Daphnia pulex: one gene and its partner. The protein of the gene in region 2 binds, or shares a complex with, the protein of the main gene of each other region. Links are inferred from orthologs where the notes say so. Each region holds a gene or a part of one and is shown on either strand. Other genes may lie near its edges.

Evidence for each region.
Region 1: the proteins of neurogenic locus Notch protein-like (region 2) and E3 ubiquitin-protein ligase Su(dx)-like are in contact, whole or in part, in an NMR structure (PDB 2JMF), measured with the Drosophila melanogaster proteins. The link is inferred for Daphnia pulex from reciprocal best matches to the Drosophila melanogaster genes N and Su(dx). Residues at the interface, in NP_001245510.1 of Drosophila melanogaster: Lys2323, Gln2324, Pro2326, Tyr2328, Glu2329, Asp2330, Lys2333; in NP_001259898.1 of Drosophila melanogaster: Glu528, Arg530, Thr532, Ala533, Ala534, Glu536, Phe538, Val540, His542, Arg545, Thr547.

Annotation. Positions count from the first base shown.
Region 1 is NC_060026.1:2,737,960-2,741,240, reverse strand, and holds the end of E3 ubiquitin-protein ligase Su(dx)-like, read right to left. Parts: intron 3,224-3,281; coding exon 2,981-3,223; intron 2,872-2,980; coding exon 2,712-2,871; intron 2,587-2,711; coding exon 2,312-2,586; intron 2,237-2,311; coding exon 2,011-2,236; intron 1,925-2,010; coding exon 1,828-1,924; intron 1,475-1,827; coding exon 1,302-1,474; 3' UTR 623-1,301; downstream 1-622.
Region 2 is NC_060028.1:5,082,156-5,086,707, forward strand, and holds the start of neurogenic locus Notch protein-like, read right to left. Parts: upstream 2,962-4,552; 5' UTR 2,686-2,961; coding exon 2,613-2,685; intron 1,987-2,612; coding exon 1,908-1,986; intron 1,528-1,907; coding exon 1,057-1,527; intron 615-1,056; coding exon 481-614; intron 1-480. UniProt on the Drosophila melanogaster protein: Essential signaling protein which has a major role in many developmental processes. Functions as a receptor for membrane-bound ligands Delta and Serrate to regulate cell-fate determination.

The DNA of each region.
Region 1 (3,281 bases), on a different chromosome or scaffold from region 2:
CCTGGACTGCTATGCTGCACTGCACTCCTGCTCCATGGGAACCTGTGGGCAACTACTTTCGAATCAGGGCTGATCAAATACTCATGTGGGACTCGGTCAGTCAATGTAATGTTTGAAATGTGATTCAATATTTGAAGAACAAAAAACCTTGGGCTTTCCTGCGAAGAGAGTGGTAGCATTCAAAAGTCCTTCCAAATCATTTAGTCGGTCCAAATTGAAGACCCACTGTGTCATGGAGGTTTGTTTTTGTTTTCAAGCAAGAGTTGCATGTGAAATAGATCGCGTGATGCAGCCTAATGATAACTCAACTATGGCCAGTTTATAAGAAAGAAGATGAATCGACTTACGTGTTGCTCTCGCTACAGGCGGTGGCTGCGTAGATGAAACGGGGCCGTTAAGGGATATTTCAAATCTTCTAATAACATGGGGGCAGGAATCTGTAAACTGGTTGATCTCGAATCAGACACGCATCCTAGACCAATATCAGCGCGAAAATATACTCACGCCTGCTGCCAAACGATGCAGACGAATCTTTCCCAGTCCATCTGGCGGGAAAATTTCACTTTTCAATTCAACGCCACCTAACGTCAATGAACTCAACAACTCAATTCTTTTATTTCGCTTATAGTAGAAGTTTATTTTTATTTCATCCAGTGCGGTATGCAAAAAAAAAAAAAAAAATCAACAGAAATAGTACATCATTCAGAATGATAGAAAAATTGAACGGACAAAAAACACGTCCAGCGTCGCCTCGGCGGTTGGGGGTTATACATGACGGAAACGCGTGAAATAACACACACACCCTCGCTCCCACAAAGAACAAAAAAAAAAGTTAATAATAAACTCTATCGATTTTTTTTTGTTGGTTTTGTTGGGTTTTTTTCTTTTCGTTTTAAATCTAAGGGGGGGGGGATTGCTCACTTTTTAGTACGTAAACAATCAACATATTATTGTCAAAACACACAGACACTCACACGATTCTCACATTCGCGTCGAAAGTAACGTCGTTCAATTATTTTTTTTTTAACAAGAGATAGGCCGACGTCGACACGATATATTATAAGGAGAAGAAGAAGATGGGAGAAATATTTTATAGTATAAAGGGAGGATCGGGTTGGGGGGAGATATAGAGGGGCAGTAGGTAGAAAGGTACTAATGTGTGAAACAAAGAATAGTAGTGGCCTAATTATGCACAATCTATTGTACAGTTTTTTTATTTTTCTGTAAGGATAAAGGTCAGCCTATCTCCCCACTCGAAACATTTCGCTACCATACGATTTCATTTTCTGATATTTGTTTTATTATTCCTGACCGAAGCCTTCCGTTTCCTCGATGGCGAACGTCATCTTCTCCACAAGCTGCTCGTAACTCTTGTAGGGTGGCAAATCTAGCCGATTGAAGCAGGTGTGCGAGCGTGGCAGCCACGTCTCTTTGCCCACCTTCTCGATGCAGAATCGCTGGGGTCCATTGCTCCCTGAAAGGGAAAAAGAACAAAAAAAAAAAACAATTCAATGGTTGATTAAACAATAAAAAGTACCCAAAAAACAACTAGAGAAAAAAGGAGATCAACGAGCCGGAAAAGTGAACAATTCATTCCACCGCAAAGTTTTAGAGAGAGAATGAAAGAATGATGCGGATCGACAGATGGGCGCGTGGTTGTGGGTACGGTTTTGACGTAACCGCACACACAAGACAACACAGTCGGTTCACACCATAACGGGACGTCGCCGGAAGTGAAAGAACAACACAAGACAAAATCGAATCTGGACAACGAAATTGAAGGGGGAAAAGATAAAAGAAAGAAAGAGTGAGAAAAAATTGTCTTACCCATGAGCTCGGCGAATCCTCCGACGGGCACTTTGCACGTACCGCAGACGAACTGCAGTAAACGGGCCCTCTTCTCGTTGTCCATGGCGCGTACAAACTGTAATAATAACAACGCAAAGGGAGATTGAGATGAATCAAGAGAGCGGACACACCAAACAGTGGACTTTCAACCCAAATTAGTACCTGCCAGAACCATTGGACTTGCTTCGAGTTGCGGGTGTAGTGGCGGTAGACCGTGTTGCGCTGCCAGTCGTCGATGTCGATCTCCTGCATGCCGCAGAGCATCAGCTCCAGCTCGCGCTCGTCAAAGTAATGAAGCCATTCGAGCGGAACCACTTCGTTGAAGCCGTCCAAAAAGGCCTTCGTTTGCTCCTCAATGCCTCGGTTCATCCTCCAATCCGTCATCAATCTAAATCCAAGCCAATTCAATCCGGTTAATGAAATCAAAAAAGGGAAAAATCATTTCGAATTGGAAATGACTCACCGCAAGTATTCTTCCTTGTTTTCCTCGTTGACGCGAACGTTATCGCCGCCGGGCTTCAATTCGTGGTGAGTCAACTGTCCGAGGACCTCGAAATCGGCCGAAAAGTAAAGCTCCAATCCGCACTCTTCCAGATTGTTGTCCTTGACCCACAGGAGCGAATTGTAGAATTCCGGATCCACCGACTCGATGTCTTTGGTCGTCAGCTTCTTGTTCAGCATGCGCTTGTAGAACGGCAGCGTGAAAGCCGAGTAGATGAATCGTCCGTGATACAAAGCCTGTTGTCGTGTGCAAGGACACAAATAAAAAAACAAACAAAAAGAAAGGATCGTGAATGTCATTCCGGCCTCGATCGACCCAAATTCTGTAAAGCCGAAAGAGATTTGTCGGCCATCATCCATACCATGGCGATGAATCGACCGATAAACTTGAAATAGTGCAGGTGATCGGGATTGACGTGGGACGCCGGATTGATCTGAAGGCTGTAGTTATTCTTGTTGGCGTATTCAAAGAGGCAGTACATGGGATTTAGCACTTCGTGTGACAGCAAGAGAAACCATTCCCTGTCAAAACAAAAAAAAAATGAATAGAAAAATCAGTTTCCTCTTCAGTGTCCAATTAGCGCACACTTCAAGGGACGCAAAGGGGGTATTTAATTAATAATAATTTTACCTAGCCACTCCTCCGTAATCAAGGCCCTCCTCGCCGCGGAAAATGACGTACAGCCGCCTGCGGAGCTCGTAGGCGGGCAAGCGCATAATCTGATGGTGCGAATCTTCAAAGAGCGTCGACCGGTTGAGAGTGATCTTGATGTGTGATGGTAAGGCATTACTCTGACACAGATAGCGGAATTGAGATAGCTTCCAGCGGAATGAGCGCTCGTAAGCGATGGGAACGCCATAGGCACCTTTCGGACTGCGTCCAGCGCAATGAGGAAAAAAAAAACACAAGCAATTAACACACACAAAGCAAT
Region 2 (4,552 bases):
AATCAGAAGAAAGGGGGGAAATATTAGATTCGTGTTAAAGGGAAAATGGCAACGCTGTAAGTAGACAGGAAAGAATTCTTTGTTGGTCATCGCCCAGGTGTTCTTTTTTTTAGAGAAAGGTGGAGGGGTCGGAACATAAAAGAGCCTGGAGAGATTTGAGAGAGAGAGAGAGAGGGGCTCGGATATTTATATTCAAGTCTCTCTGGATGGACGAGGTTTGCCCCGAGGGTATAACAAGTTTTGGCTTTCTTGTGTGTGTGGGAATGTTCCCACCGATGGAAACCAAGCACATCCGAAATCTGATGACTTTAGATTTAAACTTCATTTTAACAGCCGACAATGACTTTATGGCTACTCTAACCAGATTCAATGTTGTTGTTGTTTCTTTTTGGTTGTTGGGACCAACAATTCGTTTCAGTTGTCATAAATTTACCGGAAAGAAGAGGAATAAAAGGTTCAATCAAATTTTATGAGACTTACCAGGCGGACAACGGCATTCGTAGTTGAGAGAATCGATGGCTTTGCACGCACCACCATTCTGGCATGGAGACGGACTGCATGGCACATACTGATTTTCGCAATTCTGGCCAGTATAACCCGTGTGGCAGTTACATCTGGAAAATAAAAAAAGTAAACGGATACAAACGGATGATTAGCGCCCGGCATGATACAAACATGAGACGAGACACACACAGACACGTGACGAGAAAGTACAAATAAATTCAATCTGGTGTCTACTGACCACGGCGATTTAATGGACTTGTTTTCGCCTCGGCCGTTCCCACGCTAACTCGACAATGAAAGCCTTGAAAAATTTAATTTCTTTTTTGTCCTCTTTTAATATTTTTGGAAGGAAACTACATTTTTAAAAAAATGTTGAATAGAAGATAATAATAAAGATGTGACGAAAAAATTTCCCCTCGGACTTTCTTTGGTCGGCGTCAACAACTTTGTTGAGTCAGCTTGGTAATCATTTGACAATCATGACGTCGAGATAAGGATGCCAAGAAAGATCAACAGATGGTTGACGACAAGAGTCAATACGACTGGACTCACTTGTATGATCCGTGGGTGTTGACACAGCGACCGTGGATGCACGGGTTGCGTTTACACTCGTCAATGTCCACAGCGCACGTCGGGCCAGCGAATCCAGGAGCGCAAGTGCAGCGGTGAGAGTCCGACAAAGACGTGCACTGGGCACCGTTTTTGCACGGATGCAGGGCGCAGTGGTCGACAGCTTCGCATTTGGCGCCGCGGAATCCCGACGAGCAGGCGCAGGTGTAGTTATCCAGCGTGCGGAGTAGACACGTTCCGCCGTGTTGGCACGGCCCAGTGTCGCAGGCGTTGGGCACGGGAATCTCGCACAGCGAGGCCGAGTAACCCAGCGGACACGAACAGGAGAAGCTGGGCACGGCATTAGTCGACATTTTGACGGCGCAAGTGCCGCCATTTTGGCACCGAGGTCCGGGTCCCGTATGGCAGGGGTTGGCAAATTGGCAGTACTCGCCCACGTATTGCGGCGGACAGCTGTAAAAAATAAAAATAAAAAGAGTTAATCATTTGTTTCACAAGTGATTGGAGCAACTGGACCATGTGTATCAAAGCATAATCCCCAAAAATAAAAAATCAACGTTCCCCCCCTTCTACTACCACCTCCACTACCAGACAAAGAAAAAGAGCTGGAGGCAGTACGTGAGCAGCTCGGGCCCAAACCGGATGGAACAAAAAAAAAAAGTGGACAAGGTGGTGGTGGTAGGGTGGCTGACGGTAGGTGGTTTCAATAGCCCAAACTATGCAGACCAGCTTGTTTCCCACGCTTCTGAGCGAGAGAGACTCTACCATTGGAGAGAGAGAGAGAGGGGGGGGGGGATAGATCTCCCCTGTAGACTTTCAACAATGGACGTTACCTGCAGTAAGACTCGCCGCGCGGGTTGGAGACGCACGACGCTCCATTCTTGCAGGGATTGGGCGAACACGAAACGAATCCTGGAATAAATAAAAAAAAAAGAAAAAAAATTACAGTTAATTATTATTATTGATTTGAGTGAATGATAATACACACACACAAAAAGAGCAACGGAAACGGGTCCACTATCATGCACTTCCGCCCTGATAGAGGATACGATTCAATGGACATACGACGCTATTGTCTAACATCATTAACTCATGACTATCAAATAACATGTGGCCTAACGCTATGTGACACCACCAAAATGTCTTGGCTGATGAAAATGTCTTGAAACTTAATCATCTCACGATGTCTTTATTCGCCGGATATGTTGGTCATCACCATATTCTTTTTTTAATTTTAAAAAATAAATAAAATGATTTGCTGAGATCTCGGCAACGTCGATCAACAGGTCGGAGAGGGGGGGGGGGGGGGGGAGAGAGAAGGACAATGAGAGCGTCGGTTGGAGGGGGGATTTAAATGCGTGGGAAATGTAAAGCCCTACGGGGCCCGGCGTCTTTTTTTGAAAAGAAGAGCAGATGCAACAAAACTCTAACCGTCATCCCAACTACTTTTTTCAGACTCCCCCCTACCTTTAATGAAACAATCGTCATGAGGTAATTTTAAGCCACACGAATATTCGAGACAAAAACGTCAAGGTTACCTTGAACTGAAGCTGAGAAGAAGACGAGAATGCCCAGCAACAGCATCAGTAATCCACTGCGGTCGGTCCCCATTTTTAATGGCAGCAACAAAAACAGGGACTCACACACACTTAACGTTTCTTTCTTTCTTCTCTCCCTCTTTGTGTTGAATAGATGAAAAATTAAATCACTCAAAACACCAACACTTTCAGCCACTGGGTCATGGTGATGCACTTTTTCTCTTGTTTTTACACACTTTTCCAGTAAAGAGATTTTTTGTTAAACTCAGATGCACACAGAGAAAAATGGAAGAAATTCAAGCAGCAGCGACACAGTACATCCTTCCCGTTCAACGGACGCTTCTCGACTGGCCGGAGGGAGTCGCTCTATCAGAATAACTGGCCTCGAGGCAAAACCACCGACAACCAATCAGAGTCCGACTTGTTCTCTTCCTTTCTCCTTGCAATCTCCGCGGGTTTTCTTGCTGCACACAGAGAAGAAAAATTATAATACACAAGAACAAAATTGAAATTGCGCCTATTCTTCTTCCAGTATTCTGTCACTCGGCCAAACGTGTCGCCTATAATAACGATTTTTCTCAACCACAGAGTTATTTGTATTTGTGGTATATTCTAGATGAAACTTTGATTGCGAGTCTAACAAGTTCATGACTTGGTTTCTTCTATTTCACAAACATGTAGAATAGAATTCCCCGAAGAAAGTAATTAAAGCCGAAAGAAGGGAGCTTCTCAAAGAATTTTGGGGCCGATCATAAAAGACCCAAGAGGAATACTAGGCCTAGAAATATATTTTTATATTGTCTGATTTCCGTAGGGATGAAATATCCCCCCATCCATCATACAGGGGAAAAAGTGACATCGTCCAAATCTTTCCAGCAACTTTCCCTTTTAGTGAAGCCGATTGGAAAAAGGACCTGTCGATTTGTTTTTGACTGGGATCGTGACGCCTTTAAGCTCCTCATCCAGTTGACATGTCCGTCCATTGTTTTTCTGCCATTCCGCGCATGGTATAATCAGCCGTAAAAGTGGGCTACATCACGAAAGCAGCTCGTTGTCGAGCCCACAAAAAAATAATGCAATTGAGAAAGAAACAGTCTGATGCACCATACGAAAAACGGAAAAAGAAGGTAGAAACTAGATGACCGGCAATCATCATCAAGCTCCAGGAATCCGAAGGCCGCATCATGTAGACCGTGATTGATCATTCAACTGGCGCCGCCGGAATCATCTTCTGCGTTCTACCCATTGCGTGATGCGCCTTTCATCATATTTATATTCATTTCTTCTTCTGCCTATGGCTCTGCATCATTCATATTTTTATTTGTGTCATATACGCCTCGAACCGAAATTTCCTTTTTTTTTCCCCATTTTACATTCGATCCGCGCTGATTGGTTCTCATCATCTACCGTGCAGTTAGACACGAAAATCATCAGGTCTTTCCCGTTGGGATAAAAGGGTTAACGAGATACCCAAACTTAGAACTAAACCAACTTGTTCCTGCATTGACTTGTTCGTATTCCTCGAGCGTAAAACCCAAACAATCAACTCAATGCTCTATCGATGGTCACGTGACCAAACCCCCTTCACCACAAGTGGTGGTGGGGTAGTTGCGACAGATTGGCAGCAACTGTTGCACATGTAAACCACTCAAACGGATCACAAAAAGTAGGGGGGAATTGAATCAAACGATCAAATGGAGAGGGGTGAAATGGTTATCCGTGGGAACGGAATAAAAAAAAAAAACTCGTTTCTAGGCCTCTAAAAAAGAAAAGGAAAATTCGCTTCGTGATAAATCGATCCAACCTATTTCTCCAGTCGTGTGGAGCGCAACCGTTGACCCCGTGTCTAGATCTGTCAAAAATGATAATCGGGACAATGAAATCATTTGTCGTTCGTGAGTAGATGCAAACACCGGACAGAGCCAATGCGTCGACGTCGT